Linked DNA regions of Lepisosteus oculatus. The protein of the gene in region 2 interacts with the protein of the main gene of each other region in a pairwise test. Links are inferred from orthologs where the notes say so. Each region holds a gene or a part of one and is shown on either strand. Other genes may lie near its edges. The genes, in order: tpd52l2b, endophilin-B1, sypa and ric8a.

Region 1 (7,018 bases), on a different chromosome or scaffold from region 2:
AAGAAGAAAGTGGGTCAAATAATTTGAACCATTATTCTCTCCGGGCTGAAATGGAGTCACGCAGATGAATCAGTTCCACAATACGAAAGGGGGGACATCCTCTAGGGTAACTGAAGAAGCACGGATTCTGACATATCTATGGGGGTAAGAAAAAAAAGAACTTGCACCTTCTAAGGCTCAGCTTTATGAGGCTTTTCATTAGTTTTAACCAATTATGTCTATTTTATAAAACCTGGCTGTCATGCTGAATTTTTTTGTCACTTTTCAGGAACAGAACGCGCTCTATTATAAGGTTAAGAACAAATGGGGACAACATCATGTTTTAAAATGTTCAGAAACAACGTAGCATGCTAAAGGAATGCTACCGAGTAGTGATTACAAGACTTCCATTCAAGATCTTACAGTAAGATTAATAATTTAAAAATACCACTGACACAGCTGCTAGTCCTACTTTTTTTCTATTGGCAATGTTGCTTTTACTTCTACAAATATCAACAGTACAGTGGTACAGTTGATTACCCTGCATAGATTTCTAATAAAATATGTTTGTCACATTTAGACGTGCAAACAGCGTTTGCTTTCTGGTTCTCAAACCTGGAAGAGGTTTTACAGTTATTTCAGTGCAGGATGTAATAGAGGATGGGTAGAGTCCTGATTTCCTGTATTGTACAGGTAGATAAAGGAAATGTTTTCTTTCTCCCAAAATATAATGCTGCTTCATTAAGTAATCCCATTCGCAGGCCACATTCTTCACTGTCAGGGGTTTTCTGCAACACAGAAAGTGCCTTAAAAGACATTTTGAAACTGTTGTGATCATGGGGAAGGAGAAGTAGTGGTTAAACTGTCCCCCAGCATAGATTTTTCTCCCACTCTGACAGATGGCTACCTTGCCCCTGTTACCCTCACTTGAAACCAATGTCCAGTTAAAATCTGGCTTTGGAGAAATGAAGCCTTGTCTCTCCTTACACACCAGACCACACACACAGACGCAGACATGTGTCATGATCAATAAATAATAAATACCCATGTCTTTGGAAAATTGTTTGATATCTTTCAGAAATATAGAGCTACCAAAAAAAAAGATCTTCTGGTCAAATATATTAAATGGCATTATTGTCTTCTAGGCTAAAATAAGAGGGCATATAATAGGAATGAAGAAACCCGTGAAGGTCAAAAAAATATATAGAACAGGTGGAGAAATAATTTAACCACCATGAACAGCCTATCTGTGTTAACGCCACCGAATAAAAAAATTGATGTCATAGTTTCACGCTGACTATTAGCTCAGCTTGTGGCTCTCTGTGAAAAAAGGGGATCTAGATGACTAAAATTCACGGTTTCTAGTGAAAAAGACAGAGTGGGGGAAGGGGGGTTGGTGAATTCTACAGGATGCTTCCTCCCAGCTTTACCGTATGTTCTGCTGTGGCATTTTCACTTCCAATGGCAAAACCCAGTCAGAATTATATTCCTCCTTCTCTGGCCATTATAAATGACCATGTATAGAACTGACATGCATGAAGAAAAGTCTGTCAGCGCATAAACTGTCTTCTATTAAAAGACAATGTATGGAAAAAGTTGAGCAAAAAAGTAAAATTGCTGACCTGTTGGTGATGATAAAAAGATGAACTGTTATGATAAAACAGAAACATCAAACAGGCAGTGTCAGGGATCTGTTTAGAAGGACAGTGAAAGCCAGGATCTGATGGGCTCTGTGCTTCATACCGAGATATAGTGTTGTATGTGGAGGCTATCTCGTACAGATAAAATACTGTGTAATAGCAATAAGCATGTTGCAATTTGAATGAATGAATTTCAGATGAAAACTTGCTCTAGTCCCTTATATAGTGTTTTGGATCACAGTTGTTCTAAGGGATGCAAATATCCTTTTAGGGTGATATATAGCAGAGTTCCGGTGTATTTTGCAATATTGTTTGATTCAAACAGTGCCACTCAGATCAGAAATAAAGTTCTGGTGACTCATTTCTCGACAACTTCATGTGGGTTATATGGGTGTAAGACCAAGGGCTGGTGGGGGCATGCAGGGTGTGGTTGCAGACTGTGTGCTTAAGGGGAAATTCAAGACTTCTCAGACAGGATCTGTAGCTTTCAAAAGGGAATTAACTCTTCCCTGCATAACAGACAGAAGCACATTTAACATGTAAATCTGGTTTAAACATCTTGAAAGTCATTTGAAAAGAGGATTCCTACGGCAGTACAAAACAAAGCATGGTAATTTGAACAATAACAATAAGCAGCTACCGTTATAATAAAACCGTCTGAACATATGGAAAACTGTCCTCATATTTCTGATTGTTCTGATTGTAGGCTGCCTTTTATCTTCTTTAATAAATCTACTTAAAATGCATGCAAAATTAACTTAGAAAAAACAATAAAACAAAAACTGTACAATTTGCACCATGTCTGTGAATACTGGCAATCACTCTAAATATTACTTTACTGTTTTTAAGATTAATTTTAATATTTGCATCCTACTAATGTATTATTTCGGGTGCAATTGTTTTCAGCAGTCACACATTCGTTATTTTGGTTTGTATTGTTCTGGTAATTGCACTTTTCTCCTTTCCTGTAATTGCAAGATTAACTGAAAAATAATCTAGACCCCGAATTACACTGGAACTTTCAAGTTTTTCTTTTCAGTTCTTTGAAGGTATCTAGTATTAAATAAGGTTGCTACTCCCTCTAGTGTATAGAATTGTACAGCTTTACAGACCGGAAATCCAGGACAGAACAGTAGTTTACACCATCTGCAGTACTTTTCTTCAACACATTTTGGATCATATACATTTTGTATATAGAATATATGCTGGTATTTTATATTCTTGGTTTAAAAGTATTATTACTGAATTTAGAGCCAGCACGGTCGCAGTGAGAGCTGTTGCTTCACAGAATTTGGGTGCTGGGTTCAGTTTTGGACTTGGATACGTTCTGTGCGATTCCATGTTCTTCCCTTGTTTGTGTCGGTTTTAATCCTCTGGTTTCCTCCCACCTCCCGAACACTGCTGACTAGGTTAGCTGGAATCTCTAAATTGGCCCAGTGTGTGTGCATGCCACGTGACAAGTGCCCTGACCAGGGTGTGGTCGTACTTTTAGCCCTGTGCTCCCACTTTACCTTGACAAATATCAGGACTAATCTTCTGAGAATGGATGTGTTACTGAATCGATATATTTTATATATTCTGGATTATACATTATCATAATTTATTGTTCATACGTGTTATACCCTCTACAGACTATATAAACCACACTTTAAAGGTTAGTTTCAAGAATAAGGTATTGGGTTGGATCCCCACTAGACCTACTCCACATTTATCAGATCACTGACCTTGTAATATCAAAAGGTTATTATTGAAACTCAGTCTTTGAAGCGTTTGAAGATATTTTAAATGTTAAGGGAGCGCGACAAGCAAATAAACATGAGAACTAGTACACAGCAAATTCAGCGGTATTTTCAAAGCCGAATAGACAAAAACGTCAATGAACCGTCACCTATCGTGGAATTTAGGAAATCTTCGCAAAAAAAAAATGTAGACGCAGGTATGGCTTTAGCTGACCAATTTATCCATACGGCGTTTGCAGTCACGAAGACTTAAAACACTATCGCTGATTGATAAAGCTTCAGGCTACAAATGTTTTGTTTGTTCTTTTTATTTCAATAATTACTTACATCCTAGCGACTGAGCACTTAATTAGGTCATGATATTTTCAGCGTTTTATATTTTTTTCGTATATTTTAATATTGACCGTGCTTAACATCTAATCCTAATTGTAGTAGCAATCTGCATCTGCGGGTGGACATGTCCTGCTTTTCGTTGAGCACCTACAATTGCGAAACGCTCGATGAGTTAACAACGCATTAACTCCTACACGTCTCTATTAGTCTCATCGTTATAATTAGAAAACATTTTAGTGCAACATGTTGCCTTTAGGTATGCAACCAACCAGAATATTCAGAATTGCGTCAGGAGACGTCATTATGAAGCGCCGGAAGCGAGTGAGCCAGGGCTCGCCGAGCTGAGCTGGAGTACCTTCAGTGTCCGTCTCAGTGGATTTGTTGTTGTGAAAGCCGATGCAACAAGGAGAGGTTTTGTGTTTCAGGAAATCTGGGTAGAAAACACAGACCTACAGTCCTGAACACGTTAAACACCCGAAGATTGTTGACTGTTTGGAAAAACTGACACGATGGACTCTGCAAACCAAGGTACAGTTTTTGGTGGCATTTAGATTCTAATCTGAGAAAGTACGCAAGTACCTTACAAATGGAGCAGGGAGGGCCTGACGGCTGCGCTTTCCAAATAAAACGGACGGGGAAGAGAGCCAAGGAGGTGTAGTATTACAATGTGTCCAGGATAAACTATTCCTTTGTTTCAAGTGTGAAGACTTTTTCTCGCTACATCATGGACACGTCGTCATAATATTCTTCCCTTTCGTTCCGATCGTGAGTAAACAATAGGTTGTTTGTTTTGCAGGATACTCTCAAGGGATTTGTCGTAGTCGTGTTTTTTTAGAAGTGTCAACGATCCCAAATGTCTCATTTTAAAAATGTCACAGTTTTAAAAAAACGGACACGCATCTTATCCATTTTTAAATATTCTCCAAAGCGAGGATTTTGTCGCATTTTGTAACTTTTTAAGTTTCGCTTCCGCCGTTACACGTTATTGCTTAAAGAGCATTTCTTCCAAGTGTTAGTGTCGTTGACCATTGGAAGTAATTTTTTATTTAAAATAGTCACAGGTGCATAGCATGACTTCTGAGTTCTGAAGTCGAAGGCGATTCGAGAAGGATAGTATTCTAAAATATCTCGAAAGCTTGTGTCATTGCCGAGGGTGCATGTTTGTAAAAAATTAATGTCATCTTTGCGACAGAGCGCTAACGGATGACCGTTTAATTAATTTCATTTTTGTGATGAGAGTGTGAGGTATCGTACTGGGAACAATTTAAAATTAAGATGGTGACTTGAACATATTTTTTCTTTGACTTCGCTCTCTCTTTTTTAGCTAATGGTCAAATTTTAATGGATGGTTAAGAATAGCATTGAAGCTGAAATGGAAAGAGGTGGAATTTATTCAGAAATGTCCCAAATGTCTCCAATAGTTCCGTAATTAATTTAGAACAACAATGCTTATCAGATGTTGAAGACTTGTGCTTAATTTGAACTTCCTTCTTAAAAGCTCTATTTCAAGGGAATAACACTTTAAAATCAGTTGAAGGGGAAGTTGCTGAAAATGAGAAAATGACTGTGGTTAGTAATAGAACAATTGAATTTCACCATACTGTAAAATGATAGTATTGCTGTTGAGCTTAGAAGCATATATTGGATTTTGTTGTTTGTGACATATCTACATCCCACAATAACATCCGAAACATTTATAAAAATGATATTGAAAATTATAATTATTGGTGTTTTATTTATGCAAATGCATTTTGTTATCACAGGCACCAGTCTAGCACTTTGTATATTAGTAAATTATATCTTACTCATGCACTCACTGTTTACTTCCTGTTACTGAACATTGCAATGTCATCTCACGTATAGCCTAAGCATGCTCTCGTTGCATTCACGTAGGCCTCAATCAAGACATTTGGACAGTGATCTAATGCCTGCAAAAATGCCATGTTGTTCCATTTTATGATTTTGTTGCACAAAGGTGCTTATTGATTTGTTTACATGAACTTTTGCTGGAGATATGTCTGCTCTGTGTGTCAGTCCGAACTGCTGCACTGTTTTACTATTGATAACCACATGCAAACATTCAATAAATCTTTTCAAAAACAAGTCTATGTAGCTTCTTTATGTCAATGATATGCAAGATGTCTAAACCACTATCTTTATGTATGTGCTGGGCATGCAGATATCAATCTCAACTCTCCCAACAAAGGTCTGGGGTCAGACACCATGACAGATGTGCCCGTAGAAGGAGCTGCAGGTAACCCCAGTACCACATTGCCTCCAGGCTTGAGTGAAGAGGAGACAGAAGAATTAAAGACTGAACTGAACAAGGCAATCTTGATTTTTTTCCTCTATTTTTATTAGTCCTTTGTGTCTGAAAAGTCATACTGAAAGAAGAAAACTTTTGCACAGACTCATTAGGACAAAGTAACAAGGACAAATTGCCATGTACTTGATCTATTTTTCTTTTCTCTGACCTATTCTGGAGTATTAATATTATCTCATCTGCATTACCTTGCCTGTGACAGATGCTTAGAATGATATAGTTTATTCCACTACTGTGTATTGAATAGTTTATACCACTGACTTTTTGTCACTACTAGCAAATCTGTGGTAATTAAGTTTCAGAATTTGAACTTGGGTCATAAATTATGAGGGTATTTTAGCTGACGTTTAAAAACTGATTGTACGCTTTTCTTTCCTGTTTGTGCCCTTCATTGAAATCTGTGGTATGTAAGTATCTGCTGTGCTTTCTAGGTGGAAGAGGAGATACACACTCTGCGCCAGGTGCTTTCTGCCAAAGAGAAACATGCTTATGAGCTCAAAAGAAAACTGGGACTCACTCCATTGAATGAGCTGAAACAAAACTTAACCAAAGGCTGGCAAGATGTTCAGACCTCTACAGCGTACGTACTGTCATTGTATACATTAATGCAAAAATTCCATTCCTTGCAGGTTAATCTTGCTTGCTGAAAGGTCTTTTGTATTGTATGGTGTTGAAGTGACGATCGTCCTAATAGCTGTTAGGATCTTGAAAAGGCTGCTTGAGTCATGCTAGAATTGTCTTAGAGGCGTCCTAGCAACTCCAAAGCAATTCAGTGTGTGTCCACAAGTGGCTGGAAAATCATGTCATTGTGGTAAGTAGTTAATTGCTTTTTCTACGTACAATATAATTTGTCTTGCCTCATTAAAAACACTTGCATAGGGAAATCTATGGAGAGAAGACAACACTTATGAAGTGGTTTTCCTGACATTGTGGATTCCTGGAATGAAGAACTTAACAGCTGTCTTCCTTAGCTTAGAGCAAGGCACAGCATGGATGTCCTCTCT
Region 2 (7,019 bases):
ACTCCATTAGTTTCTTTTCCAGTCATGGGTGTTTCCTGTGAATAATCTTATTATCTGCTTGAAGATGAAACAGTTTAATGCAGCATGCAACAAGTGACACACTCTGAGGCTCTAACACACAGACCCACTAGAGATACTGTAACTGAGTGCTCCCAAGCCGGTGTGACTCAGACACACAGCTCAAACTGCTCCCGAGAATTCATATTCCCACCTCCCCCAGGAACACCATTCTCCAGCCACATCCCAGTGAAGCCCACGGAAGAGCAATGATGTCACTGAAGAAAAAATATTATCATGTCTAGTGCTAAGACTGTAGCACACAGACAAAAACAGGATGGGCGAATTACAATCGAAAATAGCATCTGATGAAATCTAACGTTATTTTTACAACTGTTCTAGGTCAATAACTCATAATCTGAGTCAAGAAGTAGCAGGTTATTCAGAATACAAAGGGCAAGACGATTTAAAGACATACTGTGTGAGTGTCATGTGTCCCGTATTAGTATTGACTACAAAAAGGTCACCCCAGCAGTAAAACACGTCTTTTTTCACCCTTCATTATTAACCCCTGCAAAGCACACGACCAGTGACTTAGACTAATCAATTATTTACCAAACTGGTCTTTTCAAAGTCTTTAAATGAACCTCAACACCAACCTTATCCTGAGTCATTCGTTTTCTCATAATTTTGTCTCGACAGACCTTGAAATGCATTTGATCGATATGAAAGGGCATTGTGTGCAACTGCGTACTGGACTATTTCTGCATTTTGTTCAGTGTGGCAACATCAGTGCTGGCTGATTTCTGATTGCCTTGCCTTCGTCGCCCGTGTTCTTCCTAACGTTCTGATGTAACGCTGTAGCGTCACACTCTGTGTAAACAGAGGGGTGAAGACATGGACAAGAAATATAGTGGTCTTCATCTGTGCAACCCCTGATTTAGAAGCAAGTGTACTTAGTGTCTTAAAGCCTAGGTGTTACACTTATGGCAAAGTTAGCTCAGCCGTGTGGCAGGAGAACTGAAATTGCTCTGTCACCTGCCTCTGGTATTCTGGGCTCTCTGTCCTGACAGGGGAGAGCACAACTGGGCTGAGAAGGATGAACGGCTGCTTTGGCGGGGGAGGACAACTATAACCTCTTTTAAAGTTGTATCTTTCAGGCTACGCATTTCCCTGAGATCATGAGAGAGTCAGGGATTTTCTCCATTGGTTTTGCAGTGAATTGTTCAAACTCAATATTCTGTCCAGAAAGCTCTATGTAGGCAGTGTGTTACCGCAGGGTGTCTGAATAATACCGTGACTAGCCTCCAAACTGCATCAGCGGTCAGAGCTGCCATGTTGCACGGGCTTCTTAAACCCTTCTTGCAACCCCTGATTTGGGAGCCAGTCTGGAGTGATGACCATCCTTCCCGTGAATGGAGAGCCACAGTCCTGAAGGTTTGGAAGGGAGCTCTAAAAGTTTTGCTGATTAAGTTGACTTAATACAAAGCAAAACATCTTACTAGGGTTTGGCTGCAGCAGAACCTCAGTCTGTTTCATGATCTTCTCTGTCCAGTGTTTTGTGCATTCTGCTCGGGTCAGAAGATTCTCCAGATGAGCATCCAATTCCGTCTTCTCGGCCTGGCCCAGCTTCTCCTCCGTAAACTACACCGGGAATTGCAGGAAAAATCACATCATCACTGCTGTTACCGGCTCACAGACATACACTTTCCCTTTGAATGCAGAAACTGAACAAAGCGTTCAAAACTCCAATACATATAAACTACTGGTTAGAAATCTTTGGTTTCTAACCAGTTTCCCCCTACATATTCTGGATTACCCATCCTTTAAAACAACCCTGCAATGAAATTTTGTGGAAGTTACTTTATGTTAATAAAGTTTATAACAATATGTTCATGTTTGTCTGCTATGTTAATATATATTTTTCTCAGATAACTTAAATCACATCCTTTTTTTCCACACATCTGTCTCACTTGCAGTAGTTGAAAAACCCCTCCTTTACAGCTAACCTCAAAACTAGCGCAACAGTTTTCGAAGCCCACTGAAAATAAACCTCTAAATGTCACTGTACTAACACTGTATACATGAGAACCGAACCTACAGTAGGTAAGCAATGTGTTACACCGTTACAGTGCACATTGTGTACAGTAAATGAAGAGGACAGAGGCAGTGGTGTGAATTTATGGGTTTTAGTTTCGCAATGCTATATTCAGTTTCCTTTCCCCGTCATTAACATATTTGCAGTAAACAGTGAAAAATCAGGGGCGCCTGACTCCTCTGACCCCGGGGACAGCCGGGGTGTTTTCTAGCCGCTGTCTCTCAGCACAGCCGACTTCATCGGCTTTCGATCCCGAACTCAAGATTTAGAAAGAGGATTTTTTCCGACTCAAAAATTGGTCACATGACAAGTTTTCAAACCTCGACCGCTAAAAAAAATATATAAAACATAACCAATTGTTAAAATAAACCCGTTAAACCAACGCCCAAAGGCCCTGTGACTGCGCTCCGAGGGTCCCAGCAGGCCCGGCGGAGCACCGGGCTTTCCCGCGGCGCCACACCGGGGACAGAGGCGCGGCACAGGGTCCGGAAACAGAGACAGTACATCAAGAAACTTCTCTATTAATTTCAGCTGCCACGTTCCAGCCGTGACACATGTGCGCTTTACCTGCACCGCTCGGCTCAGAAAAGTGCCGGCGTCTGCCGCCAGTCTTTTTACGTTGAAGTCCATGATGCTGACGGCGCTTTAGACCATCTCCATTCAGCCGAGTGGAAACGGCGGTGAAATGGGTAGAGACACTCCTCTCCTTCAGTCCGCCTGCTGAGATCAGACCTTCCCTCTCACAGTACAAGGAGCGTCTGGCCTCCGATACTGTACTTTGCTCCCTGGACGCAAAGGAAGAGGAGGAACCGTCTTTCTGTCTGACTGACGGACTCTGAAGTGTTTCCACGAGTGAGGGAATTAATACTACAGCGACAGCAGAAATGGCTTTGTCCTCATCCTGTGCCACGAAGGCACCGATTTCAAGCACCCTTGTTCGCTTGTTATTAACTAGAGGAAGTGTGTAGGATGCACATTTCCTGAAAACGTCCAGGTTTATTATCTTATTTCAATCAATTGATCGATACATTTGCGAATCAAACTCAAGAACGGATGCAGAACTCCACAGGGTAGCCTAGAAACATTTTGGATTAGTTTTCTAAGCATTGTGAAATTCCTGACATTCATATCAGCTTAATAAAGAAAAGGTTTTGATTTGATTTGATCGATTTCAAAGACTGCTTAAGTTAAATGTTGTTTTGGTTATTTAAAAAAAATAGATAATGCCTGTCCTAATGATGGGCAAGTTTTTCTTGGCCTGTAAACTATGGTTAGTTCAAGTAAGGAGCTGTATCACCATGCGTGGGCTCCAAAGGAACAGGTAAAGGTTTATTCCCTGCTGAAAAGAGAAGGGACACAACATTTCAGCCACGGAGCTGAAAAAATCTCTTCTTTTCAGCAGGGAAAAAACCTTTACCTGTTCTTATGGTCAGTACATACCATTCACCCATCCGTTTCCTGCCCAGTTTTCTGGCCGTGGGTTGTGGATTAGCTGGAGTCCATGCTGGCAAGCTCAAGAGTGACCATTCAGTAGGTTATATCAGTAGACTAATGCTTTACCTTGGCTTTTGTGTAGTCGCGACCGATTATAGATGTTACAGATCTGTGCACCAGCTCATCAGCATCAGGAAATACCACACAATGTCTATCGGGACCCTAGCTTTGTGCACATGGAAAAGATGGAGGTCCTTTGCATCACTTAAACCTGAATCTCAGATTGAGGTGCTTACACCTGAAGAAGGCTCCACGGCCGAAACGTTGTTTTCTTTCTTCTTTTTTTCAGCATGGAATAAACCTATTACTTGTTCCGCTGTTTATATGGGTTATTACAGGGTTTTAAATACAACTCTTACTCTCCTTCAATACATTATTCATCTAGCAACAATAAGTATGACAGCAAACCTGCTAAATTACTCATGGCTGTTTAAGGAGTTTTAACAGCTGCTTCAGCAGCTGTACTGAAGCAAACAAGAACTCGCTTGTACTTTTTAAACAAGGTGGAATTAGCCTCTGCTGTTCCCTGTGCAGCCTGCAGACTGATGCTGCTAGCTCCTTGCTCAACAAATGAGTGGGATAAATAAGTCAGGTCAGTAGATGGAGCCGTTTGCACATTTTTCATCAACTAAATAATAGAGGGACAGATTAAAAGCTGGTAATGTTATTTTACAGTATGTAACTGATTTTCCTTGTGAAAACTCCATGGTTTTTGTTTTTATATCGTATATCTGAATCTTTTAAAATACATCTAAAACTACTATTTCAAGTACTCCTTCAAAAATAAATAACACATTTTCAAAGATTTAACAGATGTATATTAAAAAAACAAATAATTCTTTATTGAGATACATTACAATACAATGAGTGCATTATTACTCCCAACAAAACCCAAGTGCATGTTATAGAACTATGTGTGTCCCGCTGCCTTAAAAGATATTAACCCATGGTGTTCAAAGCAAGCTTCACCTGAACTCCTCTCTCCCATTAAAAAACAGTTTGCCGTGATCTTTGTAAAAGTAGTGAAATAATATTTTTTTTAGATGAAGTTACTGTTTTCTGTGTAGATTTTTCCCCATCACTAGATGATGGTGTGAAGTGTATGTCTGTTTATTGTAAGTGATATGCACTGCACATTTTAACAGTATGTGTGAACAGATTCATTTTAACAGAAAAAATCAGTAGTGTCAGCTCTTCTACACAATTATTGTACACATGACCCACTCTTATAGCAACAGGCCCTTTAAAAATAATTCGCTGCATGAGATATATAGGAGCCACAGGCAGAGATCTGATTTAATTAGTTTCACCAGTATGGTCTTATGAATTCAGGATTTTTAAATAAAGAATTGCCACGAGCAAGAAGTTAATATAGAACAGATCCTATACTGAAAACTTCTCCATAAGCAGAATAATACATTGACAATGACTTTCCCTGCTTCCATTGTTTATTCTGTATTCCTTTAACATTTATCCTAAGCAATAGTAGATTTGGAAAGCTCTGCCCAATAAACAAACCAATACCCTTTTCCCTCACTGGCTATCAAAAGTACCAGTGTTTTTTCAGTACCCAACATAAAAGTGCTCTCAGAGAGCTTGGAGTCTGCTCCTTTACACATTACTGGCCATTGGTACTCTCTCTACCTCCGGCCCGTCTCTCAGTGTGTAGTCGCCCTGCTCTCTCTTGTGCATGAACAGCCTGATCAGGCCTAAAACCAGACACACACTGAGGATAGTAGTGGTCACCGCTATGCCCACGACCGACACACTGCCCAGTCCACCCTCGTTGCTGTCGCTGTCGGAATCGCTGTCCTCGCCGTTGTCTTGAGACAGGAGAACCTTAAGCTCTGGTCCAGCAGGGACCAGCGGCTCTATTATTGCTACCTGAGCTATGTTGGACATTTCAGACATCAGTCCATTTTCATCCACAGCACAGATGGCAAAATAAACGATGGTGCCGTTCATTTGATCCATACCTTCGATCGGCTGTTCCAGCTCTTCTCTGGTGCCCGCCGGTGAGGGAGTGACATGGGTTGGATTCACCTGAAAGGCACTCTCAAATCTGTCTCTTAGGTCAAAAACATTTTCACCCATCTTTATTTTATATTCTGCAGCTGCAAGATAAAAACCACATTTATAATATCAGCTACAATCTTCATGCAGAGAAACCGTGTCTGTTGAAAAGAGATGTAAATCACTGCAATGCCACTTCCTTCTGATGGACGGGAATCTTATCAAGCACATTCCATTGCATTACAAACAGCACAGAAGGAGGAAGCCTGTCATTATTTGTAAACGAAGTATGTCTGCACTCAATTTAACCATGTCATAGGTAACGCTAAACTAAGACATGCATAAGTGGGAGTGAAGTTATAAAAAAAATGACACTTCCAGTTTTATCTGTCAGTATGGACTTGAGGTACAAGAATTTTGCAAGGAGTGTGGAGTCTATGTTGAATTGTATAAACTAAAGCAGTGATGTTGAATCCTAGTCCTCCATTTTGCAAACAAGAAGATTTGATACATCTAGCTCATTTGATTGCTTATTGATCGGAGGACTTTATCCAGCAGTTTCTTGAAACATGCCAGGGTACCAGTTTGCACAACATGGCTGAGCTGTTCCAGACTCCCTAATGCCAACATCCTGTGCCAGAGCACTTTGGGTGAATGTGACCGATGTACTTTCACCAGTGGTGGACACAAGACTCGCAGAGCATTCCATGGGTTCTTCTTGTTTTATTTGTACAGTGTTTAACACAAAGCTAGAAAACAAAACTTTTTAAGATAATAGAGGTTCTTAGATCAACTTAAATCTCCACTAACACCCTGATCACTTTCCAGCCACAACTAACACCTTATTTGTACTATAGAATAGCACTAATTACTCCCATATGAGGATATGCACACAAGCCCTAAACCTATAATATACTAACACACCCAGTGAAAACTATATACTACTCCTGCCGCGGTGGAGGCACAAGATCAGGAGAAGGGCAGAAAGGACTCGAGGAAGTGCAATGTTGACTCCAGCCTGATGGCGATACAGATACAAGGATCTTTCACTCTGAAACCATTCAGCAAGACAAGGTGGCAACATGGGAAGCTGCTTGTCCTGATCAAATCAACTCCCCAGGACGGCCTGGCCTACTCAGGAACAAGGAGGGAACAAGCTGCCCAAACTGCAGCAGGCTCTGCCTGATCCAGGGTGATTTCATCAGCCATCTCTGGAATCGCACACAGGACGCACATGAAGAGCCATCGCCCTCAACTGCGTGGGCTGCTGATGGCCGGAACAGCTCAACCTCCATGTGAGAATGGAGAGATGGACACAACTGCATGCTTGACCATGCATGGCAGCAATGGCACCATTCAAGGATGGCTCAAGCCATTCAGATTTGTTTTTAGATTTGAAAAGAGCAGGACATTGCTT
Region 3 (7,066 bases), on a different chromosome or scaffold from region 2:
CCAGCCCTCTGCTACAAAATCTCTGGGGCCTGTTTTTCATTTAGGAAACCTTCCGAAGGAGAAGAGGCCATGTGGTCCATGATCTAAAGTAATTCTGCTCCATAACTGCAGGAAGCGTTAATGACCGAACGAACGAGCTACGCGTTATTGTAGTGGAACCCCAGCATGCTTCACGTCCGGATGTTGTGCTGGGAGGCTATTCTGAGCTGGAAACAGGTGCAATGGTGAAAACATGTAGACTGAAAAAAATAAAGGGGCTTAATTGAACACAGAGGTGTCCAGACTGAAGGCAGCTCCAGGTTTTCCTTCGAGCCGGGATTAAAATAACTACCCTTAATCAGCTGCTCAATTAGTAGAGTTCACATGCCTTCTGCGTCTCTGTTCATTGAGTCTGCGAAGCTGCAGAAAGCTGATTTAGCGCAATGAGTAGACCTTGGCACCACAGAGGGAGAATGTACAACACAGCGCTTGATAAATCTATCTGGTGTGTAACGCTGATATCGCCCCGCCCCCTGGCCCCACTTCCGCTCGGCCATGACGTCACTGGCGGGCCGCGGACACTGACAATACGTGGAGCGGAGCCAGAACGGAATGGCTCTCTCTCCGTTACCGCAGGGGGCTGAGCCGAGGAATCGGGACCTCTCAGCGTCAGGAGTGGGGGGAGGGCCTGCGGGCGAGCCGCTCACGAGAGGGATGCTGTTCTCAGGCCAGGCGGCGGTAAAATATCGGAGGTTTGTTGGCTAAACGTGAACAAGAGGATCGCTTTCGCGGAGCGCAGAGGTGCGTTTCCTCTGCCGCAAGACCCAGAAATAAAGAGCGTCATATTTTCTTTCTTCTGCGAAAACCCTCCTTTCCTTAGTCCTGGGGAGCCCCCCAGTGTAGAAACAGGAGCAGGGAGGCGGCGAGGAGCGGAACCTCGGTTCTGGGAACATCCTAAATCCTGCTCTGAGCTGCTTGCAGCAGGTTCAAAATAGCCACTATAATAAACAAGATCGGTATTTTTGTATCTCACTTTTCGTTCATTCTGTAATCATATTTTGAATAATGGTTGATTTCAAATTCTTTTTTTTTTTTTCCCCAACGAAAATAAAGATAATTAAAAGCACATCCGCGCAGCAGCAGCGCGGGCTCTCGCCCGTGTCCACAGCGGCGGGCGCGCGGTGCTCCCGCACAGCTGGAGCGAGCGCCTCCAGCTGCCACGGCTCGCGCGCGCGAACGCGGGCCGCGTCGCCGTCACGCGCTGTGACCTCCAGATGTGAACGAAAGGACACAACCCCCCCGCGTGCTCACCCGGTTTCAGCAGCAATAAAACTGCTGATAATATTAAGGGGGCACATGTGCGGTACATACTAACATCTTCGTATCCCCTGTCCACGAATATTCATCCGTTCTTCTCAGGAGTTCAGGATATGAGAGTAAGTCAAGAGCTACTCACCCATTCCAGTATCTTGATAAACCCCAGGGGCTCTTTGGCAATCTTGAACTGCCCACTGGCAACGAGCTGCAAGGAAACAAACCAGTAAGTACAGCGCGGTGATCAGTGCCGCGCGCGAAAAACGTCCAGGGCCGCGCTGGAGGTGAATAACAATACTAATGAGAGGAAGAAGGGGAATATGCGGGGGATCTTGTCCTGGAACGGTGCCGGGCCCCTGCTCCCGCAGAGCCGACAGGCTCGGGACCGGCGGGCCGCGGAGGAAAAGCGGTGCTGTCTCCGTCACCGTCTCCATCACCGTCTTCATCACCGTCTTCATCCCTGTCTTCATCACCGTCTCCATCCCCGTCTCCTGCGCGAGCCTCCCCGCAGCGGGCCTCGGCTGCGCGTGGGGGCGGCACCTCCGCGAGCGCCGGCGGCTTCCTCTTCGCCGAGAGGACCGACATGCCCCCCCCCAGCTCCTTCACCCCACTGCACCTGGAGCTCCGGCAGGCGTGGGGCTGTGAGGTGATGGTGGTGGTGATGGTGGTGGTGGGGGGGGAGGGTCAGTCTTTAATTGCCCCGCCGGGCCCGGCTGTTTCACCGCCCCGCAGCCGCGCGCGGCTCCAGGCTCGAGGAGGCGCTCGGGGCTGGCGGGACGTCGACGCAGCCGGCTCGCGCTGGGGGAATGCGCGACGGGACGGGCGCCGCGGGTGGCGACGACGGGGCGGGTCGTGTTTGTCCCCACACCTGCCACCTGCCCCATCGCGGGGAGCGTGTTCCTCCTCTGGGGAGGTGGGGTGGGGTAATGGAGGAGGGATGGGGGGGTATTCTCTCCTCACCCCCCCCCCCCCGGCGGAGGTCTCCCTCCCCTTCACAGCCGCGGTGAAAACAGATGAAAAAAAAAAAGAAAACAGACCGGCCAGGAGAAAACGGACGCGCAGCGCAGAGCAAACCGTGAGATGACTGGGCGTCCCAGCGAGCAGGAATGAATAAACCGAGTGGCGTCTGTCTGTGCCCCGGGACCCGTCTATCCGCCCCCCGGGGTACAGCCCCGGGGTACCGGCGCGCACCCGGGCTACATCACCGGGCAAGACACCAGGAGCAGCAGCCGCGCACAATCACACGCACCCCGGGCTCCCCGCGACTGGGGGAGCCGCAGCCCTCGCTGGACCGGGATTTGCCTATTGCGCTAAACGCTGTCGCGGCTGTTTTCATCTTGTCTTCTCTCCGCCCTGGACGCTGCGGGACCGGCTGCTCCGTCAGAGGAGCCGCATCTCAGCTGCGCCGCACAAACAAGGCAGCGCAGCCCGCAGCGCCCGTCCCCCGACCGCCCAGGCGCTCCCGAAATCGAGCCTCTCCTTTTTCTCCCCGGACCGCCGCTCCGAAAAAAATAAAGGATCACCGCAGCGGCGAGGAGAAGGAAGAAGAATTAAAACAGAGAAAAAAAAACAACATTTTAAAATGCATCATCATCTATCGGTTCTGGAGAGCCGTTACCTGGTTCACAATATCCATCTTTGCGGCTTTCTCGGAGATAAGGAGATCAGCAGAGTGGAGGGAGGGAGTGAGAGGCAGCAGGGGGAGGGAGGGACAGAGCGTAGAACAGCTCCTATTGGCGTCACAAGCTCCTAGTGTGGGCACGGCACAGCCCGGTGAAGCCTTAATCCCCAACTGTGCGCCATTTTAGGTACTGGCAACGGTGGGGGGGGTGGAGGGCTCTTACAAAATGCCATCGCCAGACAAATTGTTCGATCCCGTGCACTGCGTGCCAAGGTTCGGCAATCAGTCGGTAATGCTGCTGTTTTTGTTTTTTGGGAGAGACATTTTGTCTTTGTGACAAAGGCAGGTCTGGAAACAAGCTCCAGCGTGTCCCAGGGATATTATTTTGAGTAAAGATCAGATTAGAGGGAATTAGTCAGTTAAGAGTTGTTTGCAATGATAATGGAGGAGAATCAGGGGAGGGGGGGCGTCAGGACCTCAGTCCATCTGCTCTGGGTCTGCAGCACACATTGGTGACACAGCCCCTGCAACCCCACCCCCCCGCTACCACATGGCTCGTTTGAGTCTAATTAACGCTGTAATAAGTACTCGCAGATCGCCGGAATCTGTTCCTCGTCTTCTCCTTTACCGATCTCGCCCAGAGCCGAAAACTGCCAGGCATCATCTTCACGGTAATGGCAGTCTCCATCGTGACACCCCCTTTCGCGGGAGGTTAGGCCGGGCCCTCCCTCCTGCCCGCCAGCGGTCAGCATTGCTGCCTCACCGCGCTGGGGCCCCGGGTCCAGTTCCGGCCCTGGGGTGCTGTCTGTGGGGAGTCTGCATGTTCTCCCCCGTGTTCACATGGGTTTCCCTTGGGGGCTCTGGTTCCCTCCCACAGTCCACAGACATGCTGGTGGGTTCGTTGGCTTCTGGGTAATTGGCCCTGGTGGGCGCACGCGCATGTGTGTGTGTGTCCGGTGCCTGCTGGGATAGGTCCTGGCTCCGTCGCGACCCCGATCCCGAACGGAGCAGTCAGAAAACAGATGGATGGATCTCCCTCCCTCCCAGCTTCGCCCAGCAGAAGAATGTCTGTGCTCGGGTGCAGGAAAAACGGGGCTCTCTCACCCCGAGACTTTCTCGCTCGAGCTATTTCATGTGATTCGGGCGATGAGAGCAGCCCCCCCTGCCTCCGCTGGGGTTCGACCGGCATGGCCTCGCTGCCGGGGCAGCGGGTCACCCCACCCCGCGCACAGACCGGCTCCTCCGCCCCAGCAGGGCTCTGCTGTCACGATCACTAACCCCTCCTCTTAAGGGCGCTCCAGCCCTTCCTTGTCCCGCCCCATTGTCTGCACCTGGTCTCTAATCCCGTTCCTCCTTAAAAGCCAGACGCGGACCTTACTCCTGGTTCCTCATTGATTTCCGTATTTCCGTGAGAGCTCGGGGTCGTGCTGCGTCTGGCACCGTTATGCTTTTATCTTCCAAGTTCCTAGTTCCTGTTTCCCTCGCCGGTTCCGACCCGGTTCCTGTTCCCCCCCAACCGGATGGATCGCCTGGTTATGGCCTTCAGCCCTTGTTTCTGATTTCCCGTTTGGATTTCCTACATGGATTGTTCCCCTGGATTCACTTCCCCTGGACACCTGCACTGCATGGACACGCCCCCCGTCTCCAGACCCTTTACCTGCATGACCGTTTTTCCCCTCGTGTCTTCACTATTCTGGATCGTGTCGTCCGCATAGGGCCCGGAAAGAACTGCTCGTGACATCTACGGCGTCTAGACCGCAGGGCGGGGCGGTTCCCCTCCAGCGACCTCACTCCGCGCGCCGAGCCCCGTTTCACACAGAGGAGCGCTGCAGACCTGCGATACGCAGGGCGCAAGAGCCGTCTGCGGTAAGACGGGTCGGGTCACGGAGCTCTGCGGGTGCAAATAGAAAACCATGCGTGGAGCACCCTCGCGTAAACGGGGCTCAGGGTGTTGAGCGAGCTACCGCAGTGACCTCACCCTCCTCTGATACCTAGACGGTGGAGGGATGGGCTGCACCAGGCCTTCTGGCCTGGGCGAGCCAGGCGCTGTCCGAGGATCGAGTGACCGGGTCAGACAGAGCTGTACTCCCGTGTGGCCCGACCCGGGCGTAACACCGGGGGACACTTCCTGTCTGGTCAAGACCGCTCACATCTGGCCACCGAGCCCTGGGCTCTGGCTAGCCCTCCGGCGTCCACGGCTTTATGATTTCTGGGATCTGCCATGCAGGTTGGTCCGAAGGGAAGGGCTGGTCAGGAGCTCTGTGGGGAAAGGGGCTCAGGGACGCGACTGGCCAGACACATCCCGGTTCTCCTCTCCCAGACAGGACGAGCCCTTATCCGAAAAATCACGCGCTGGCGATATTCCGGCTGTCGGTTTAAAGGAGAATTCAGGGTTATGGCCCTGCGCGTTGCATAAGCAGGTAATCCAAGATTAATCACACCTGCCAGCGGCTGGAAACAAAATCGGATTGCCTCTGGAAAACATTTCGCTTGTTTTCCTGTGTTCTGGAGACAAGATCCTAACATCATGTCATGGATGGGTATCCCATGAAGGGTTTAGCTCGCCCTGCTCCCAGTGACGCCGAGAGAGGCTCCAGGCCACCCTGACCTTCGCCGGCAACACCTGTAGGCAGGGGTCCCCCAAGCCTGTTCCCGGTGACCCCCACACCTGCTGGTTTTCACTCCAGACCCCCTTTAATTAGACAATCGAAGCCTTAATTCATGTAAGAAGTTGCTTCAATTGAATATTTTTTTTTTGTTTTCTAGTCACAAAAAGTTGGGGATTTTATTCCACTCGCAAAATACTATGGTTAAAGCTCCGTTCGTCTGAATGATGAATCCGATGATCTCTGGGGCACCAGGAGCAGGATAGGGAACCGCTACAGTGAGGGGTGGAATTGGCTGGAGGGAAGAAGGAGCAGGACAAGATGGAGTTCCTTGCCTGAACCACACTTCCCATAATGCTGTGGGAGACGAGCTGTTGCCCTCCATCACCTGCCCACGTCTGAAAGGACAGGCGGCAGTTGTCAACGAGAGAGTTGTTCGTTATAGCCACCTTGTCTTCTTGTCCATCGGGCCTCCCCTCCCCTGCGCCCGTTTCTCCTCTCTCTGAGAAAATATCGAAAGGTCCGCACACGGAAGAGGAAGAGGAAGAGGGATGGAGCAGAAATCGGCCCTGGGGGTAAACTGGGGGAACAGCGAGGGGGTGCTGCGGTCAGCCCACGTTGGGGTCACGTGTCCCACGCCCACAGGACGAGTGGCACAGCTCCAATCCTCTTGGCCGTCAAGCTGGTGCCATTCAGACCCCACTCACAGAGCTGCAGCCCTCCGTACCTCCCACTGACACAGACAAGGGCATCGGATCAGAAACAACAGCGTTCCCGATCCAGGAGCAGGTGTCCCCAGCTCCGCCTCCCAAAAAAAACCCAGCAACTCTACCCATTGGATAGAGAGCACCTCGATACCTTTATTGCAATTAAACAGCTCTCTGCAGGATCAACCTCCCTCTCTTCCCGAGAGTCAGAGAATACAAGTCAGAAAAGACACAGGCGCCAACCCAAGGAACAGACACCAACGGGCTGGAGTAAGCCAAAGGAATCCGAGCCCCTGCAGACACATGTCATGGAGCTTCCTGTCAGGAGGCAGTGGGAGGGGCCTGAGCTCCCGGACTCGGCTCTACAGCGCCCACTGCTGCCCGGAAGAGGCACAGCTCGGAAGAGCGCTCAGCCGCACCCGAAGTTCCCTGGGCACGTCCCAAATGAAGACTGTGTACTGCTCAACACTCCTCATCTCACTGTCTGTAAAAGGGCAGTGCCATCCGCACCCCAAACACGTTTGTTTTAACCTTTCATGAAGAAAGAGAGGGTCCTGCTCGATTCTATTAATCCGTTATCGGCTGTTCACCGGTGGGTATCGCGCAGTGACCCAGGCCGGAAAAGCCCCAGGATTGTGCGAACTGGCAAAGTGGGATCCTGTTCAAGTAGGGAGCCGTGTCAGCAGGCGTGGGCTGCAAAGGAACAAGTCCAGGTTTATTCCAGGCGGAAAAGAGACAAGAAGAAACAACATTTCGCCTGTGGAGCCTGAAAACAGCTCCACAGCTGAGAAGTTGTTTCTTTTCTTCTCTTTTCAGCCTGGAATAAACCTGGACTTGTT
Region 4 (6,986 bases), on a different chromosome or scaffold from region 2:
ATTTATGAGAGACACCAAGAAGAAAAAAATAACCACTTTTGTTGGCACATACATAAAGGTGCCATGAATAAAGATAGATATTGATTAACAACTTTGTGTACAAACACCACTAATGGGAGAAATATGTCCTGCTGGGAAAAAAAACAGCTTGTTTGTTTTTTGCCTTCATGCATTATTAGGAGCAATCACTCATAACTGACAAAAAGGTTTTTTTGTTAATTATGCAGAATGTTTTACAAATTAATGCTTTGTCTCAGGAAAGAAAAATAATCATTATTTTTGCAACTCTTACTTTGTTATAATGATTAGTTAGGGATCATGACTACATTTGGGATCATGTTTAAATGGGGGTATCACTTTCTACATATGGCCTGTTACAATCCACAACTTTCTATCTTTGCATTGTTCTTCTTCAAATTGTCTAAAACCAAAAACTTTTTTTTCAGTTTTGTATCGTGGAGACTCGCTTAAAAATGTTATTCTTTCTTTTGGTCTGGGGGTATCTCAGTTTTACCTCCTGGAAGGCCTTATTCTAACCTTTCAAGGAAGATAACCTACATGACACCCATCGTGTAGAACAGGAAAGTTGAGTGGAAGCCGGAAGTATTCTGGGGATGAGTTTTTGTCTTCCGTTCATGTAAACTTAACAACTTTTCACATAATGTCAACAAAAGTAAATGCTTGCTCTTTTACTGTATGTAGTCCCACACTATGTACAGCTAATTAGGGTATATCAACATGCAACAGGAAATGACATTTCTAACCCAATTAGGATATGGCTTTAGGATACTGCTGGTGTTAGTCTGAAAGAACAGCTTGTTCTGTCTGTTGCTGTTTGAGATGTGCTAGGGGCAAAAAGCTACAGTACAGCAGCATCACATTCTGCTGAGCGTTCCTTCCAGAAGAAGAGCAACAGAGATACTGTTCAGGGGTATGTAGTCAACGTGACTTCTGTGAGGCACCAGGTGACTTACTGGTCTATAACAGGACAGTTCAGATGAGCTGAGCTGCACATGGCTCAATGATCTAATCCAATTTTCACAACACGCACCGCAGAACAGACCAGAGACTTCCTGGGCAGGATGAAAGGAGTTCCTTGACATTCACGTCAAAGAAAGGCAGCGTATTGAGGAATTACCTCAATGTTCTGTTGCAGAAGTATCTTTAAGTGTGATTTAAATGAAAAGTACATGAAAAGAAAGAACCATTAGTGATATCAGGGGTTTAAAGGAATATCACATATGCTAATATAGATATAAGCATGCACTATTTTTGCATGTACAAAAATACAGATTACAAGGTGGGGAAAAAAACAAAATCAGATTTTATCATATTGATAGTTGACCTGTTTTCACGCTGTGTTTGATCATTTTCAAAGTTGAATGGTCGAACCTTTTTCAGTAGATACATTCATAAACAAATGCCGACATTGGGCATTTTAAATGCTTTGACAAGAGATGGAAAAAGACAAGGACAAAGCCCAACCCCAATCTTAACTATGGATTTCAAGCTCCTTGCTGATTAAAAGTATCTGATGGTATTGATGTACTCTAAGGCTGTTAATATTCTTTAAAACGTTTATCAGATTTAGGCACTAAAAGTATAAGAGGCTCTTACACCCTCATTATAACAGTGATAACTAGTTGCATTAAATGATCTGTAAGTCATACCATGTAAAATGTAGAGAAACAAAAAATACACACAAAGTATCTTCATTTCCACACCAGATTTCACAACTTCAGAGACCGTTATATACAGTACTTGCATCAAAGCAATTGTATGGAGTACCTACTCTGATAAGTAAAAACAGTTCACAAAAAACATTAAGTAAAAATAATAGTAAAAAGTTGCCTGCTGATGTATTATTCAGCTTGCTAGAAGGAACTTGGAGTGAAGCTTGGGTTCCAGAGCTACATATTAAAATAATAATGACTTCAATTAAGATATTTACTACTACACTTGAAATAACAGCTGCACAGAATAAATCAATAGTTTGCTACACTATCAGAATGGCAACTATGGTGAAGGTGCTTTACACACCTACTATTAACACAGAGCTGTATCTTGCACTCTCAGCCCAAGACCATTGCCCCAGTCTTCCTGTATCTCAAAACCAACAAAGATCTAGATAATTTTAAGTATTACATATACGTTTTGTTCTTCAAGGCTGTGATGGTGATTATTGATATAAAAAATAATGTTACATTTCTGCCTGCATTGCACTATCCAAAAGCATTGGTATCAATGACAAAATAGCCTGGGCAAACTGTATTCCAGCGAGTGGATGTACCATTATGTAAAATTATCATCGTTAAATAATGCTGAGAAATAAATGTAAAAGTTACTACCAAGAATATACGCCTGCGTTTTAGGGCGACACTGTTGTTATGGCTAATTATTTTCATTTAAAATTTAAAAATGCAAACTGTACCATTGTGAATGGCAGTTTGATTCAATAAAATTAAATGCATTCAAGCTGACAACCAGGGCTCCCTAATCCAGATCACATCGAAGCTATTAAATATGTTACACTTAGGATGTTCACATCATGTCAGGATGGTAATGACAGAAAACATGCATTTCTGTAAAAATAGAAGGTAGTCGGCTAAACACACTAACAAATCACAGATACTGTATACCCTGCATTTCGAAGCCCACACATGGAAACACGGTTAACGGATACGAATCGTATATATAAATATACAAGATGTTAACCAAATACGTATAAAAATGAAAAATACTAAATTATACCTCCTTATTGTAAGCCTGCAGTGCCTTCAATGCGGCATCTTGGTCTCCTGTTTGCATCGTTTCTATGATGGCATTGAATTCCATTTTCATTGCTGTATTACAGACGCAGTTATTGTTGTTCAAGTCAAACTGACAACCACATACACGCCTTGCTTTGGGTAATATTCTGATGTGTCTCACTGCGTTACCTTACTCTACCAGCTCTTATCCCTGAAACTCGAAAGTCCTGGAACAAGATTAACGCAGGATTGTAAGCGTGCGTAAGGATTTCTGGGAAATGTAGTTTTACGTTTTTGTTTCTACACGATCAGGTGCAAGTCTCTAGGTGTAATACTGCTACAATATGCTGGGGATGTATTGATACAACGCGAGGTGTTAAGATAGACATATTCACATTGTTTTAAAAAAAGGGTACATTTAGGGTTTGCAAAACCGCACTCTTTTTTGCTCTTTTTCTTGTGTATCTCTTCTCTTTCTCCCTGGTGTTATTCTTACAATTAACTGGTGAACATACCGTCCACAAATCGTCTTATATAAAAGAAAAGTGCTTGGAAAAGTGAGCCTGCGATTCACAAGCCTTATTAACAAACATTTGATGAGCTTTTACATTTGAATTCAACAACACGACTCATTTAATTATCCCCCTTGGAATAAGGAATAACACTTCTATTGCAACAAAACAAAGAGTGAAACTAATCACGATACTAAGCTAAAACTATACTAAAGACAAAGTTGCCAGTCACTTAACCTTCTTACGACTTGTACAAAAATATTTCAATATCAATTCTCAGGTGGGAAAAATTCCTAAAGATTTTCTATGTGTATGATAGTTAAGTGTTGAATCAAAGGACTTGTAGAGACTTTTTAAAATACTTTTTTTATTTAAAAAAAACTGATTTTCCAATCAGTACGTGGTACTAAACATATGATACTTAACAGGTCATATTTTACTCCTCTCCTTAACAAAATTAACAATTGGACTAACCCAGAGGTCTGTATATTTTCTCAGTTGTTATGTGTCCTTCTTTCCTTCTTTTTGGTCAATACAGTGTAGAAAATGGAAAGTATATGCGGAAAGTGTGATCCTTTACTGGTAGCATTAAACTTGTGGGTTTATACAATGTGTAGGATTCTGCTTATTTAAATTTAATTTATGTTCTCTGGTTCATGTTTCAATGTTGAATCTGATGAAGTCAATTGGATTGCCTTTAAGGATTTTGCATTCCCCTTGTAGTATTCCCTGCTCAAGACTAAAAATATTTTGCCTATCAGTATATGACACTCACAGATGTATGGGAATTTATCTGGACACCATTCTCTGGAATGATTCAAGAGCAGTAATGATGTTCTTATAACGTGCTGATAAAAAAAAAAATGTTCACAATATTCTACAAAAACAAAAACTAAAGTGTTTTACTGTTTTGCCCAAACATCACTTTATTTACATTCTAGACATTTAATCATAATTTCTAACTCACTCTCTGCCTTCCCCACATATAAATGATGTACACACCTACAGTAAGTATGTATCATAAATGATCTGTATTTAATTCACAGGTCCAAAACTGAGCACAGCGCTCCAGCAGTCCAAGACAACGATGCTAACCAGGGTGTCACCATGCAGTTAGTTAAGCCTGTCTTGCTTGACTTGTTAGAACAGTTTGAACAAATAACAGCAGCTATGGATGTGACATATGACATGATATATTTAGATTTTCAGAAAGGTTTTTAATAATGGTCCTCATAAAAGATTGAGTCTCAGATTCTAGCCTTGAAATGAAAATTGGTCATAAGGATAAAAAAGAGATATAAATAAGGGATGTATACTCAAGGGATGATACTAAGGGATGACATAATTAATCTGGCACTACAGGGTTAATAGTTACATCTTTCCTTTCCTTAAAACCAATTAGTAGGATGTCATTAGGCCCTGGCTGGCCTATCTGTTAATTTTAGGGGCTTCTAATCCCTGCGACTCCACCACCTCTTCTATGCTAATTGTATTCAATACAGATCTTGGCCTTTGCTCAGCCTGAGGAATGTTGTTGATTTCTATCCTGATGACCACCCCTCTAAAATAAGAAATATATCACTCCTTTCTGTTTCATTTCCTAAAAGCTTCTGATATTTAAATCTGTATCTGTTCTTATGCTGTTGTAACACTGAAAAAAAACTTTTATTATATTTGGTTATTATATCTTTTTAAAATAACTCCCTACTCTTATCGAGAAATGCCCAGGGATCTTTAATGAGCGCTGAGAGTCAGGACCTTGGTTTAATGTCTCATCCGAAGGACAGCACCCACTACAGTATTAGGACCCACACAGACCACAGGGTGGGCACCCCCCACTGGTCCCACTAACACCACTTCCAGCAGCAGCCATAGCTTCCCAGGAGGTCTCCCATCCCAGTACTGACCAGGATTAACCCTGCTGAGCTTTAGTGGGCTGCCAGCTGTGAGCTGTGAGCTGCAGGATGATGTGTCTTCTGGCGTTTGTTCTAACTATTAATAGTTACAAATATATCAAAATTATTGTAAATTAGGCAGTTCTGCTTAATTTCAAAATGAATTTAAATTATAATTGATTTTATAATTTTACTCTGTTTTGTTGTCACAGTAATTTGCAAAAAGATATTTCTTTCTTCCTGATTGGCGAAAATAACAAATATGATGTATTTTTTTTAATTTAGAAACGAAACAATCGGATTAGTTGCGTATATTTTAGGATTATTTTATAGTGCACTTATTTTTTTATTGAAAGACAAGGCCAATGTATGTTCCAATCTATTTATTCCAAAGGGCAACTCTAATAAAATCAGCATTATATATGGACGAGACATTAATAACATTTTTACTTTCAAACATTACCCTATTAATGTAACAGGATGTGACGTATCCGTTACTTTACCTTTAACCCTCTTCCCAGAAGAAGGAAGTCAACAAAGATGGCTGACTGGAATAGAGGTAGGAAGTGGACACGTAGTCAATTCTAAATAATATTTTATTGGTTTAATAGTGTTTTTGTGTGGTTGTATAGTCTGAAAGTTTCTCTTGACAAGTGTGTTAAACGTATATAAAGTTGTGGATACTAGGTGTTGTAAATTGGACTAGAACAAGTGAAATAAATATAATTATGATGCTTCATCAAGCTAATAATTGATCAATGTAACGAGTATAATAGTTGTTACAAACGAGACATCGCTGAATCGAAGTAGAGTCATAAAAATAAAGACAGCATTTAAGCTGATGATGTGCATGCTGTAAGCGTCCTAAACATTATTCAGACGGTTTTTTACTTCGTTTAATCTACTTAAAATTACTCAAGGAACGCTGATCACACAGAGTAGTTTGTATCAAACAGGTTTCTGATCATTAAATTGTGGCATCAACCGGAGTAATCAAGGGTGGGCAGAGCTCTGCTTTCTTTAAGGCTTCGTCTGGCACCCACACTTGGTCATAATTAATTCAAATGGTTTTCCTTTTCCGCGTTATATAATTTGTTTCTAGTGTGTCTGATCGTCTTCAAACATGCTTATATTATCACTGTGAACTGTGTTCGTGCTGCCTTGAGACAGGCTTTGAAACGGGTGCTCACTTACTTTGTGATGCTCTTCTCTCTTGCTGTTTTTCCTCGTGGTAAGGACATGGCTCTGGTGCTGTGGATGAGATGCTGGATGTTGAGAATAAGCTCTTGGCAGACAATCTGGCCACTAAAGTCTCCAGACTAAAATCAGTATGTATTTAAACCTCTTACTACACCTTGTGGCATATGTGTGTTTTTAAAATGATTTTAAAGCGTTTTTTTATTTTCCAAAACATTTATCAGTAACTTGGTAATAGATTTATGATCTCATTGTTTTAATTTGCAAAAGTAGATTGTAAACGGCCCGTTACAGAAGACCGATACAGAGACAAGCCTACTATTCTCTAATAGTATTGAATTCCAATACACTGCTCATGTGTTTGTACAAACCTGGGCTTCACTTTGTTTCACAACATTTTTACTATCAGAACTAAGAATGCAGTTTACCAGTCGTATCATACAGAAACAAAAGATTTACTACAGGACTCTGAGATACTGCTGTTGCGCACTCCTTAATAAGTGTTTCTATGCTTTTATTTAACAGCTGGCCTTTGAAATAGATAAAGAAGCTGAGGACCAAAATTCCTATCTTGATGGCATGGTAAGAGCAATTTGCAGGGCCTAAGATAAGATATGAATTTGAAACATTAT

Evidence for each region.
Region 1: the proteins of endophilin-B1 (region 2) and tpd52l2b interact in binary tests that used the Homo sapiens proteins (3 or more experiments, as listed by UniProt). The two-hybrid records come from large-scale screens. The link is inferred for Lepisosteus oculatus from reciprocal best matches to the Homo sapiens genes SH3GLB1 and TPD52L2.
Region 3: the proteins of endophilin-B1 (region 2) and sypa interact in binary tests that used the Homo sapiens proteins (3 or more experiments, as listed by UniProt). The link is inferred for Lepisosteus oculatus from reciprocal best matches to the Homo sapiens genes SH3GLB1 and SYP.
Region 4: the proteins of endophilin-B1 (region 2) and ric8a interact in binary tests that used the Homo sapiens proteins (3 or more experiments, as listed by UniProt). The link is inferred for Lepisosteus oculatus from reciprocal best matches to the Homo sapiens genes SH3GLB1 and RIC8A.

The regions. Positions count from the first base shown.
Region 1 is NC_090711.1:5,491,025-5,498,042, reverse strand, and holds the start of tpd52l2b (tpd52 like 2b), read left to right. Parts: upstream 1-3,998; 5' UTR 3,999-4,200; coding exon 4,201-4,219; intron 4,220-5,870; coding exon 5,871-6,019; intron 6,020-6,445; coding exon 6,446-6,594; intron 6,595-7,018.
Region 2 is NC_090704.1:637,879-644,897, reverse strand, and holds the start of endophilin-B1, read right to left. Parts: upstream 3,014-7,019; 5' UTR 2,726-3,013; coding exon 2,663-2,725; intron 1,642-2,662; coding exon 1,500-1,641; intron 1-1,499. Other genes in the region: calcium-activated chloride channel regulator 4-like, read right to left, coding at 5,201-5,703. UniProt on the Homo sapiens protein: May be required for normal outer mitochondrial membrane dynamics. Required for coatomer-mediated retrograde transport in certain cells. May recruit other proteins to membranes with high curvature. May promote membrane fusion.
Region 3 is NC_090697.1:75,189,842-75,196,907, reverse strand, and holds the start of sypa (synaptophysin a), read right to left. Parts: upstream 3,021-7,066; 5' UTR 2,930-3,020; coding exon 2,912-2,929; intron 1,502-2,911; coding exon 1,436-1,501; intron 1-1,435.
Region 4 is NC_090716.1:11,899,907-11,906,892, forward strand, and holds the start of ric8a (synembryn-A), read right to left. Parts: upstream 3,004-6,986; 5' UTR 2,842-3,003; coding exon 2,752-2,841; intron 1-2,751. Other genes in the region: bet1l (BET1-like protein), read left to right, coding at 5,698-5,716, 6,394-6,485, 6,880-6,936.